Regions from separate parts of the Mus musculus genome. Here region 2 is reported to be linked to region 1. The links are microRNA targets in miRTarBase. Many come from high-throughput screens and were not tested one by one. Region 1 holds a microRNA gene; the other region holds the end of a gene's coding sequence.

Evidence for each region. The annotated mature microRNA mmu-miR-1956 reads AGUCCAGGGCUGAGUCAGCGGA and lies in region 1 at 2,901-2,922, opposite strand. An mRNA with a match to its seed (bases 2 to 7 or 8) in the 3' UTR can be bound and repressed. Matches are read on the target gene's strand: a 7mer-m8 pairs with bases 2 to 8, a 7mer-A1 pairs with bases 2 to 7 and ends in A, and an 8mer does both.
Region 2: the mRNA of Tmem167 is a reported target of mmu-miR-1956. Seed matches in the 3' UTR shown: 8mer at 3,540-3,547.

The regions. Positions count from the first base shown.
Region 1 is chr3:138,523,098-138,529,346 of GRCm38, reverse strand. Mir1956 (microRNA 1956) reads right to left here and starts at 2,926; the gene lies at 2,862-2,926. It overlaps Eif4e (eukaryotic translation initiation factor 4E), which reads right to left and starts at 3,156. Exons shown (of 8, transcript NM_007917.4): 1 at 3,053-3,156; 2 at 2,033-2,079. The coding sequence starts at 2,050.
Region 2 is chr13:90,103,971-90,108,594 of GRCm38, forward strand. It overlaps Tmem167 (transmembrane protein 167), which reads left to right. Exons shown (of 4, transcript NM_025335.3): 4 at 405-4,624. The coding sequence ends at 475. Among named protein-coding and RNA genes, the nearest start is that of Gm24507, 7.3 kb to the left of the region's middle.

The DNA of each region.
Region 1 (6,249 bases):
TCGCATACTGTCTCCAACTAGTTTCCATCCAAGTTTCATCCTTCACACTTGTTAGGTTTCTAGGTTTCTCTTGTCCTTAAATTTACACACTATCCACATCAACCCTGCCATCACTAGGAAGAGTATTTCACCTCTGACCCAGACACTGACGAGGAACAAAGCACAGACCACATTTAATATAACTTTGTATCCTAGATATCACTCTGTACCCACCCAAAACTATCAGCAACTCCTAAGTACTGACTCAGAACAAAATCCAATGACTACATTGTGGCTTTAGCACAATCCAAGACTTAAGTGGAACTGAGATGTCATAGAACACATTGCTGTTTATTGCTTAGCTTTGCCTCTATTATTATCTGTAATATTTTCCTCTAACACTGGTAGAGAAAAGTAGAAGATTCAATCAGGAGACAGGAGAACTTGTCAAGAGTCTAGGTTACATTTAAATGCTTCCCCTCTTGCTCTTACATTGATATTCTAAAGTTAATTTCACCAACAACTTATGATGCAGTTTTGCAAAATGCCAGGAAAACTGATGTCAATAAAGAACAAGTAAATCATGTCTCCACTCCCAAAAAGTTGTCTTGAATTTTGCCAAGATAAGGCCATTTTGCAAACATATCAAATTATTCATATTCAGTCTATCGGTGAGTTTTAAAACATCTGGCAAAGGTGTTCTACAGAGGTTTCTGGTTGCTAGTCTATGCCTTTATGCGCCTGAGACTTTCACACATGTGTGACATTCCTTAAAAAAAAAAAAAAAAACCTGCGATGGATGGCCAGTGAGCCAGCTGCTGGCAAACCCAAACCATGACAGAAGAAAAAAAAAAAAAAAAAATCACCACCTTCGGGCTACCGGAGTTACGCCGTGATGCTCTATGTGCATCTTGCTTCAATTAATTTCAAAATAGCGCTTTCATTAAGAGGGAAGCAGTATAAAGTTAAGAAGGAAACATCAAATGGAAAAGCAAATGCTGATGAGCTTAAGTGATGGTTCGAGAAAAGCGCCTGAATCTCGATCCTCGGGACTCTAAAAGCTGTCCTCTGACCTCCACTCGCAAGTCGCGGCTCGCGCCACTGCCCCCACCATGCTTTAAAAAAAAATGTTTTTTCTTTTAATTTAAGAAAAGGTAATCTTGAAAGTTCCTATTTCTAAAATTAAGTGTTCGTTGGCTATCTCCCAGACGATCTGGTGGTGGCTTAAGAGCGGAAGAATCTACCCGGTCCTCGGAGGCGTGCGCGCTGCGCCCCGAGGATGAATGAATGGAAAGCCCGGCGCGTGTGAAATGCAGGTCTCCGGCCAGCCGACCCGCGGCGGCGATCTGTAGGCCTCGCTCCTCCCCCTTCCCTCCTCCATGACAGCCCCGTCCCGGCGTGGAGGGGCCAGGACAATGTGATCCCCACCTCAGCCGGCCCCTGTCCCCGGCGCCGGGAGGTGCGCGACACGACCCCTGAGCATGCTCCCCTACTCAACGCCACGGCCCCCGGCTCCCCGCGGGACGCGCCCGCCCAGCTCCCGCGCGCCCACCGGTGGGCTCCGCCAGCCCACCCTCCTCCGCAGCTCCAGAGCGCGGCCCGCACGAGGACCCCCGGCGGCGGGTCGCCGGCGACGGCGAGGCGCCGCTGCCTCGGGCTCCCTCTCCGGCTCTCTCGGGCCGGCTCGCCGCCCACCAGCCACGGTGCCCGCTAGGAGCCGCCCGCCCCACGCCCCCCCGAGACCCCGGGACCCCACGCCGATCCCCGCGCCCGTGTCCCGAGCCGCCCTCCGCCCGCCGCATCGCGGCCCCGCGCGGCGCCCCTCCCCCCACCGCCCCGGTGCCCGGGCCCCCACACGGCGTGTGCGCTCCACGCTGCCGCCGCCAGCCTCCCGGCGCCGAGGCTGCCCGCCGAAGGTCAGGCCGGGGGCGGGCAGGGACCGGACGCGGCGGGAGGCGCCGTGCGCGCCGGTAACGCCGTCCTGCGGGAGTCCCTGAGCGGAGGAAGCCGGAGCGCGGGGAGCTCGGGGGTGGGGGCCGAAGGCAATACTCACCGGTTCCACAGTCGCCATCTTAGATCGATCTGATCGCACAACCGCTCCTGAAGGGGGGGCGAGAGGAAAAAAATGAGATTCAAACCGGATTGGCCGGCTCCTGCCCACGTGACGGACGTGTCCGTTTGGCCCTAGCGGCGCCTGCGCAAGACTGCAGCTGCTTGGGGAAGGAGAGGCTTCTGGGAAGTGGAGTCTTTTTTTTTTTTTTTTTTTTTTTTTTTCTTAAGGCAAGAAGTTTTTTTTTTTCTTCCAAAAAAAAAAAAAGTGATCACGTGGTCGCTGGCGAGGGTGCGTGGCTCCCGGCGCCGCGGGCGCTTCCTGCCGAGTTGGATTTAGGCCTCTGCTGGGCAGCGGGCAGAGCTCCGGTTGCACTCACTGCGGGGCATTCCTGCTGTGCCTTCTGTCGCCCAGTCCTCCCATCTTTCCTAGAAGGTTGAGAACTGCAGGCTCAGCACACGCAAGAAGGCTTCATTTGCTTAGCTGAGGTCCTAAGACAAGTTGCTTTTTATTTAGTTTTTCTTTTCGCCTCCCACCATTTTCTCTTGGTTTCTGAAAGAGGCGGCGATGGAGAGTCGTTGATGTGGTCTGCGTCTCCCCAGTCCCCGGTCCACTAACGCGGGTGGTCCCTTGCTACCATCGCTGCCCAAGCGGGTGGGCGGGCTTGCCCCACGGTACCCTCTCACTCGTTTGGGGAAGGGGAGTGCACGCGTCGGCTTTTCCTGTTCCCAGTCCTGAGATGAAGGCGTCAGGGGTGAATCTTGCTGGACGTGAAAGTTTGGAAGTTCTGTCCAATCGGTTCCAGTATTCTGCTTGGACGTGGACGGAAATAGCCTACGTCCAGGTGCCAGCCAGGGAAGCCACTCGGGGCTCCGCTGACTCAGCCCTGGACTGAAGGTCAGGAGTCGTTAAACCGGGTCAACTATGACTCTTGACGTTGACTCATACTCCTTAGGCGAGTGACTTAATACGCTCAGTGCCTCAACTTTTTCATTTATGAACCAAAGATGATAATACACTTACCTCACAAGGGTGTGCTGTGGTAAGGACTGTAACCAGCTTTGAAAACGCTTCGGAATCTAGAAGCAAGCGCGTGCCTTCCTTAAGGACCAGCTCCCTCCGCCTCCGCTGCTGTTTTAGCAATCTTGCTTCTTGACCCTGGGTCTTTTGAAGCGCAGGATGGCCTTGAACTTGAGGTATAGGGGAGGATGGCCTTGAACTGTCGATCCTCCTGCTTCCACCTCCCCCCCACAAAGTATCGGGATTACTGGCGCGTGCTGGGCGTGGGGGTGGGTTGGGAGAGCACTTTTTTGCTGAGATAGGGATGGAACTCAGGGCTTCCTGAGCGCTAGGCAAGCACTCTACCAACTGAGCTATATCCCCAAGCCTTAACAGTGTCTTAAAATTTTCTTTTCTTTACTTTGTTGCGTACACCGATGCAGTTTTAAAGGGAATGTAGCTGCTCTCAACAGAAACTTCGTGTTCATGAACTTATGTTCATAACAACTAACAAACAGAACTGGCATGCTACATTTTCTTCTAAGTTACCAGGCCGTCAAAGCACTGTTGGGTAAAGTTCCTAATGAGGGAGCCAGGATCTCATGGCTTCCACGCAGCTTAAAAATGTTACCGCCAGGAAAAGCAGTGTAAGCAGGCTATCTCGTGTCTGCCTCTCCATGGCATTGCTGTTGTCCAGAGCTGTGTCATAGCTATTATTGAGTACATAATGGATGCTTGGGTTGACTAACACATAATTGAGGCTGTGTAAGAACTCAAAGCCAGTGCCTGCTCGTGTTTTTGTTTACCAGGATGGCAGAAGTGATTTTAAACGAAAGCTTCTGTTTAAGTTGGCGTGAGTAGATTCTCAAGTAGACATAGCTCTATGAACTAAACACATAGGTGAATTTCTATGTACAAATCTGTTAACACTAACCAAAGTAATTATAATTGACCCCTTATTTTCTGTTGTCTGTAAAGTGATGTCTGGTTAATTTCTATGAGAAGACAGCATTAGGGTGCTGAGTTGTAGCTCAGTTGATAGAGTGTTCATCCAGCCTAGATTCCCCCCAACACCACATAAACCCAGCATGCTGGAGGATCAGGACTTTAAATTCAGTGACATGGCAAGTTCTAGGCCACCCAAAGAAACAGGAGAATCTCTATCCAAAGAAAGGAAAAAGACAACCTAAATATCCTGTTTTGAGCTTCAGGGTTGGTTACAGCACAAACCAATCCATTGGCAAGAAAGTATCCTGACAAGCCTGAAAACCACCAATATAAAGTTTTTGTTTAAAATGACATTTGATTGTTTTTTTTTTTTTAACCTTCTTCCTCTGTTGTCAGTGAAGACTCATATTTTGGGCTACAGGTATAACTCAGGGGTAGAATGTTTGCCTAGCTTGCTTAAGATTCAGGATCCAGCCGGGCGTGGTGGCACACACCTTTAATCCCAGCACTCAGGAGGCAGAGGCAGGTGGATTTCTGAGTTTGAGGCCAGCCTGGTCTACAGAGTGAGTTCCAGGACAGCCAGGGCTACACAGAGAAACCCTGTCTCAGAAAAAAAACAAACAGAACAAAAAAAGACTCAGGATCTACTTCCTAGTACCCCTGTGTTCCCACAAAGACTTGCGCTTTTACAGTTTTTTTTTTGTTTTTTTTTTTTGTTTTTTTTGTTTTTTGGTTTTTTTGGTTTTTCGAGACAGGGTTTCTCTCTGTAGCCCTGGCTGTCCTGGAACTCACTCTGTAGACCACGCCGGCCTCGAACTCAGAAATTCATCTGCCTCCCAAGTGCTGGGATTAAAGGCGTGTGCCACCACTGCCTGGCTCGCCCCATTCTTTATAGTTTAAGTCATCTCTATATCTGTATATGATTTATTGACTATTTTTAAACATTTCAGATGTGTTTGCCTAGTGTCAACACTTACGATTTCATCTTGTCAAATATATGGGGGCTAGATTTTTATGTGTTATGTCGGTCTGTATACAATCACTTTCATTTTGCTTATTTATTCATTTATTTGTGGACCCAGAGTCTTGCTATGTTGTCCAAGGTGGTCTTGAACTCATAGACTCATAGGATCCTCCCATCTAGTCTTCCAAAGAGGCTGCAACTGAAGCCACAGGCAGCTGTGCCCAGCCATCACCTTACTACCACACCCATGCTTGTGCATGTGGTGGCGCACGCCTTTAATCCCAGCACGTAGGAGGCAAAGGCAGGCAGTTTGAGGCCAGCCTGATCTACAAACCAAGTCCAGGACAACCAAGGCTCTGTTACACAGGGAAACCTGATCTCAGAAAGCCAAAGGAAAAAGGAAAAAGGAAAAGAAAAGTTTAATTTAAAATCAGGGAAATGTTTGAGAGATGCTCTGATGCTGGCCTGTATGATGGAGTTGTCTAGATCACACACAACTACTTTGGCCCAGGGTAGTGTCGATATAACTAGTCCTTATAATCCTGGCCTGATCGAATGTTACTGGGCTTTAGTAAATAATGAAGATAGCTTCTCAATATAATACATTCCTCAGTCTGGTATGTTACCATTTTAACTCATGTTAAGACTTCAAATAAGAGCCAGGTAGTGGTGGCTCACGCCTTTAATCCCTAGCACTTGGGAGGCAGAGGCAGGCGGATTTCTGAGTTCAAGGCCAGCCTAGTCAGAGAGTTCCAGAACAGCCAGGGCTATACAGAGAAACCCTGTCTTGAAAAAACAAAAAAACAAACAAACAAAAAGACTTCAAATAATTTGACAGAACACACGGGTTGTTTCTGTCATACTTTTCTTTGGAGTTTTAGTCTCTTGACTTAGATGACTGAAGTCATTGTTTTGCCAGACTTTTCTACTATGGTTGGAACTAATCACACCTGCTATGGTCTATATAAAAATATTTCTGCTTGCTGCCTAGGGTTTTCATTGTTGTTTTTACTTAAGCTTCAAAACGTTAGACGTCCATAGCTCTTGATAAGTCCTAAGCAGATTTTGAGATACAGGAAATTGTATAACCAAATAAATGACCTCAATATTGTAAGCTGAGTAATGTCTAGGAATAATCTAAACCAACTTCTAGTTTATACATCTCTTTGTTCACTCTCCCTCGAGATGTGACTGCCTGTACTATAATTTATGATCTACTTTTATGATGGTAATTTTCCTTTAGGAAAGATTCAAGATAGTGTCTTCAACATAAAAAATAGTCTTAGAAATTACTTCTATAGCTAAGAGC
Region 2 (4,624 bases), not on the chromosome of region 1:
CATTGACATCTACATAGTACACACTTGCAAACTACAAAGTAGAGTTAGAATAATAATAATATCTCATGATGTGGCAGCAAAGTTCAGCAGGAAGAGGCACTAGCCTAATAATCTTGAGTTAAGTATCCAAAATTCATATCAAGTCAGAAAGAAAGAACCCACTCTGAAGTTGTCCTCTAACCTCCACATGTGCACTGTGGCATGATCACTCACATGAATACAGTACATCATAAGAATAGGTTTGGATTTGGGTTAGATCCCTTAAGTTTATTTCCTTGAGCTGAAGTTTTAATGTACCTTCTTGCTTGTTGTCTCTGGGTCCTTGTTTTTCCTCTCTTATAGCCTTATCATATCCATAGTAGTCATTCGTTCAACCAAGAGGAATGTCTTCTTTTCTTCAACAGGGGAACGCAAGAGTCCTTATGTCGCCATATGCTGTATAGTGATGGCCTTCAGCATCCTCTTCATACAGTAGCTTTGGAAACTACCAGCATGTGCTTGCTATCAGACTGTAAACAAGGACTTGCCTCCAGAAAATAATGGGAAGAATGGTTAAGCCATTTGTCTCTGAACATGGAATGAGATAAACTTCAAGATGCTGTTCTCTATTTTTATGCTATTGGACCAATGAGCTGAATGAATAATTAAGATGTAACAGTTCAATACACAGGAATGTGATTGTATCCATCAACCTCAGTTCTCTCACTCCAGTATTACATTCTGCAAATGTCATTCTGTTGTGTCAGGACTGCTTTTCATAAGGTTCTTCGGGCACGAAGTAGAAACCCAGTGGCAAATTCCAAGGCTCCTTTGACTAGGGCTTCAAAATAATGTCTTCACAGAATGGTACCTTCTAGCGACTGGCCTATTTTTATTGAGAAAAAAACTTGTTCTATTTTTGTTGTTGTTACTGTTCTTATGGATTGCATTCATATTTAAACCCTTTGGATTGCTAACCAGAGTACCTCTATTCTTGGCAAATTCCGCAGTTTATTACAGGTGTTTAAAGTATTTTAAACAAAACTCTGAATTTCTTTAGTTAGCCTAAGAGTTGGCTTCTAGTCACAAAGATACAGCTGCCACACTGTGACGAAGAGCACCTTAGAAAGAAAAGCAGCAAGTGAGCGGTGAGCAAGTAAGCACCGTGCAGTCTTCGTTCTCTGTAGTCTTGTCTTCCAAATAGAACGTCCATCGTAGTTACCCAAAGGTGGTATTTGTGGTGTTCTTAATGCAGTGCTTTAAGTCTAGTGTATGTTCTGTCAGCTTGAACTGGAATCTCTCTTGTAACTTTGTAGGTTATAAACATATCTCATATCTGCTTTAGTCTGGGTACTATGCTCTAAGTACATTTCAGCTTTGACACAGAATGTGAATAGACGAATATCAAAGGATACTTACAAGTTTGTATCCAACATTTCTTCAGGTTCAGCTGAAAATCAGTTACTGTTTCAAAACAAAGAGGAATTAAATCCTAGCTGAAAACTATACATAGCATTTATTAATTAATTACTGGGTTTAACTGCTCTTTTTAAAAGTTTGAAAAAGAAAAAAAAAATTTTTTTCTTAGAAGTGAAGTTTCTATAAAAACAAAGCCCTGAACTTGCAGTCTTCACTGTGTAGCCCAAATGGCCACCAGAGCTAGCTAGACCATCAGCTTTGACATCGTGCTTGAAGCTGTGGAGGACAGTGTAGTAGTCTAACATCTAGGAACGCCTACTTGGTTTGTAGAGGTTGCTTGTTTTTAAAAAGATTTTTGGGATGTCTGCAGCTAGTTAAAACTGGTCTATTTTTATGATAATTATTCTACTCTGAATTTCACCTTAAGCTTTGTATTAGGTCAAGGATTTTCACTGTGTCCCAAAAGTAGGACTCCCTCGTCACCATATTTGTGCACAGTAAGTAGTCACCTATCACTTTGATTTCTGGGTGGCCATCTGTTCATCATCACTAACAACATTTCCAGAAATGTTGTCAACTTTTTTCCTAAGTTAACATGCATCTCATATCAAAATGGAGAGAATAAGAATCATCTAATATGTTCTCTTTAGTTTGACATTTTAGACAATGTAGGTGGAAATTAGAGGAAGACATAGTTAACTTGAAATATGCATGGTAACATACAACTTTTCGCGGTATGTAGATACTGAGCAGTCTAGACAGGTATTTCTAGCCACTACCGTCCTGATCGTTTAAAGTACAGGCTCTTTAGGGGTGTAGGAAAGCTGCAAAGATAAAAGAATCATATAAAGAAAGGCAATTAGCATTTTTGGTGTACAAACACTGACTCCTGTTTTCTGAGCCACGGGGTCGTGTGGGAGGTGTGAAGCCCACAGAATATTTAGCTGTCTTTGTGAGTGGGGTGTGGAGGAGCAGTAAAGCACTTCGGGCAGCTGGCATCTACACAGACTGTAAACACAAAGCTTAGCGGGCGAGGAGCACTAAGACTCAGGTCTGACAATGTCCACATGTTCTCCCTGGCTGCCTTGTTGGCCCTAGAATCTTCAGTCCATGTCCCCACATTTGTTTTATGTTGCTGTTTGGTTTCTGATTAGCTTTATCTGGGCCATTGACAGGGCAGGATATGTCTTGCTTCCAGGTAGTCTTGCAAGATAGTCAAAAGGACACATGTCAAATTGGTCTTAATAGTTTTAAAAAGTTAAAATTCCAATATGGTGTCCTATTGATACCTTTTCTACTTAGGCTGGAAACTACCATATATGTTTCAATTCAAGGTGTTTCCTGCTGGGGTTAGTAAGAATATAAATTTATAATAAATTTGTTCATCTTCTTAATAAAATTAGTCTTGTACCATAGGGTGACACAGAGTTCCATAAATTAACTCTTCCAAGTTTACAAAGACAAACAAATCCTTGCCTCCATTTGTGAAAATTATTTAACACTTGTAAATAATATTTTTTTCAGGAAACATTTACACAATTGGTATGGCATGTGACCATTGAAAATAGATGAGTTGTTTCTCTGTATTCATAATGTACATGAAAGATGAAATTAATGTCTATGAAGTATAATGTGCTAATTCTTGTTATTGACATAATCCCAGGATTCTAGAAAAAAAAATGAAGAGTGATGATTCATTGAGGGTAGAACTTCTCAGAGATCATGAGTTAAACTGATCTTGACAGTGTTTTTTTTTTTTTAAAAAAAAAACAAAAAACAATTCTATGTTAGGGATTGTATGTCCCTTAGTTTGTGAGGTATGGTGTGGCCATAAAGGTCAACGGATGTTATATTCTGGAAAGTCATGTATTTTACCTACCTCAAAATTGAAGTTGAGATTGTCCCCTCCTGCCTCACAAATCCTTCAGGAAGATAATAAAGTCTCCCTTGGTTTATGAGTGAGCAAAGTTGACTAAGGAATACACTAGTAGATTCTCCTGAGACTTTTGTAAACATTGTAGAGGCAACTGGCCAGTCAAGGCTGTGTTTTCAGAAACTTGTAAAATCTCGTATTCTATCTGCTAAAAGCAGCCCCAGCTGTTAAAACAGGCACCCATCCCAAAAGTGCACAGTTTACATTTCCTGGACATACAGAAAATATTTCTACTTATCAAGAACTTAAGCTCCACAAAAGCCTTTGAGAAGCTACTCTGTCATTACTATCTGAAAACATGAATGGAAAATTCTTAGGGCTGCTCTTCTCTTCCTTTGTTACCTTCTAGTAATAATAAATGTTCTCAAACGGTGCTAGCAATCGCCCTTGTTACAGGGGGTCCTGACTAACTTCTGAGAAATAACTTCATATCATTTCCACTTTGCCCTGAACTAATTCCTAAATAATCTGACAGGCCATTTCAGTACCTTTTGTAGAAAGAATTCCTGTTTAAAAGAGGTAGTCGTCCTAGTCTCTGGTTAGTTCATACATCTGCTGTGTAATAAAAAATGAACTGTCAGAAGCCGTCTAGTTTTGATATATCACATTGAAAGAGAGCAGTACATGGAGCTTAGAGGGTGGCCATTATGACTAGAGTAGCTTATCTCCATCTGTGACTTGTCAAGATAAATTTGGAGGGGATGTTTTTATTGTTTGGTGCTTTAAGACTACCCACTCTGTCTCATTGCTGCTTCTTTACAAACCCTAAATATCTAAAGTAATGGTTTCTGTGTTACTGTGACCATGATACAAGACAGTAGCAAAGAGGGGAGGTTTGTGGGGTATTTTCCCTTTAGACATATTGGAGTTTCCCTAAAAACATTTGGCAGGGACTCAAAGTCATGATGGACCAGGGAACTAAAAAGGAGCCAGCCACAAGCTACAGTATAGGCCAACCTCTTAACTTTGAAAGGCCCTCCCCTAGAGACCTACTTCTGAGAAGGTCCCACCTTTAAAATCTCTTCCCCACCAGTAGGAAATAAGTATCCCAAAAGCCAAAATAATGACTTGGCTGGTCTGCTTTGGATCTTATCTTGAATTGTCCCGGAGGTAGTTTAATTCTGATTCTCCATTTAAATAGCAGTCATTGATTACTAAAAATTATAAATTTAATCTCATGTGAGGGCCTGTAGATATCAATTCCTATCAAACCTAGAAATACAACTCATTTAATTAACACTACTTAAAGAATAATTATTGCCGCAGACCCTCTGGGCCCTTTTGTCTGCATGG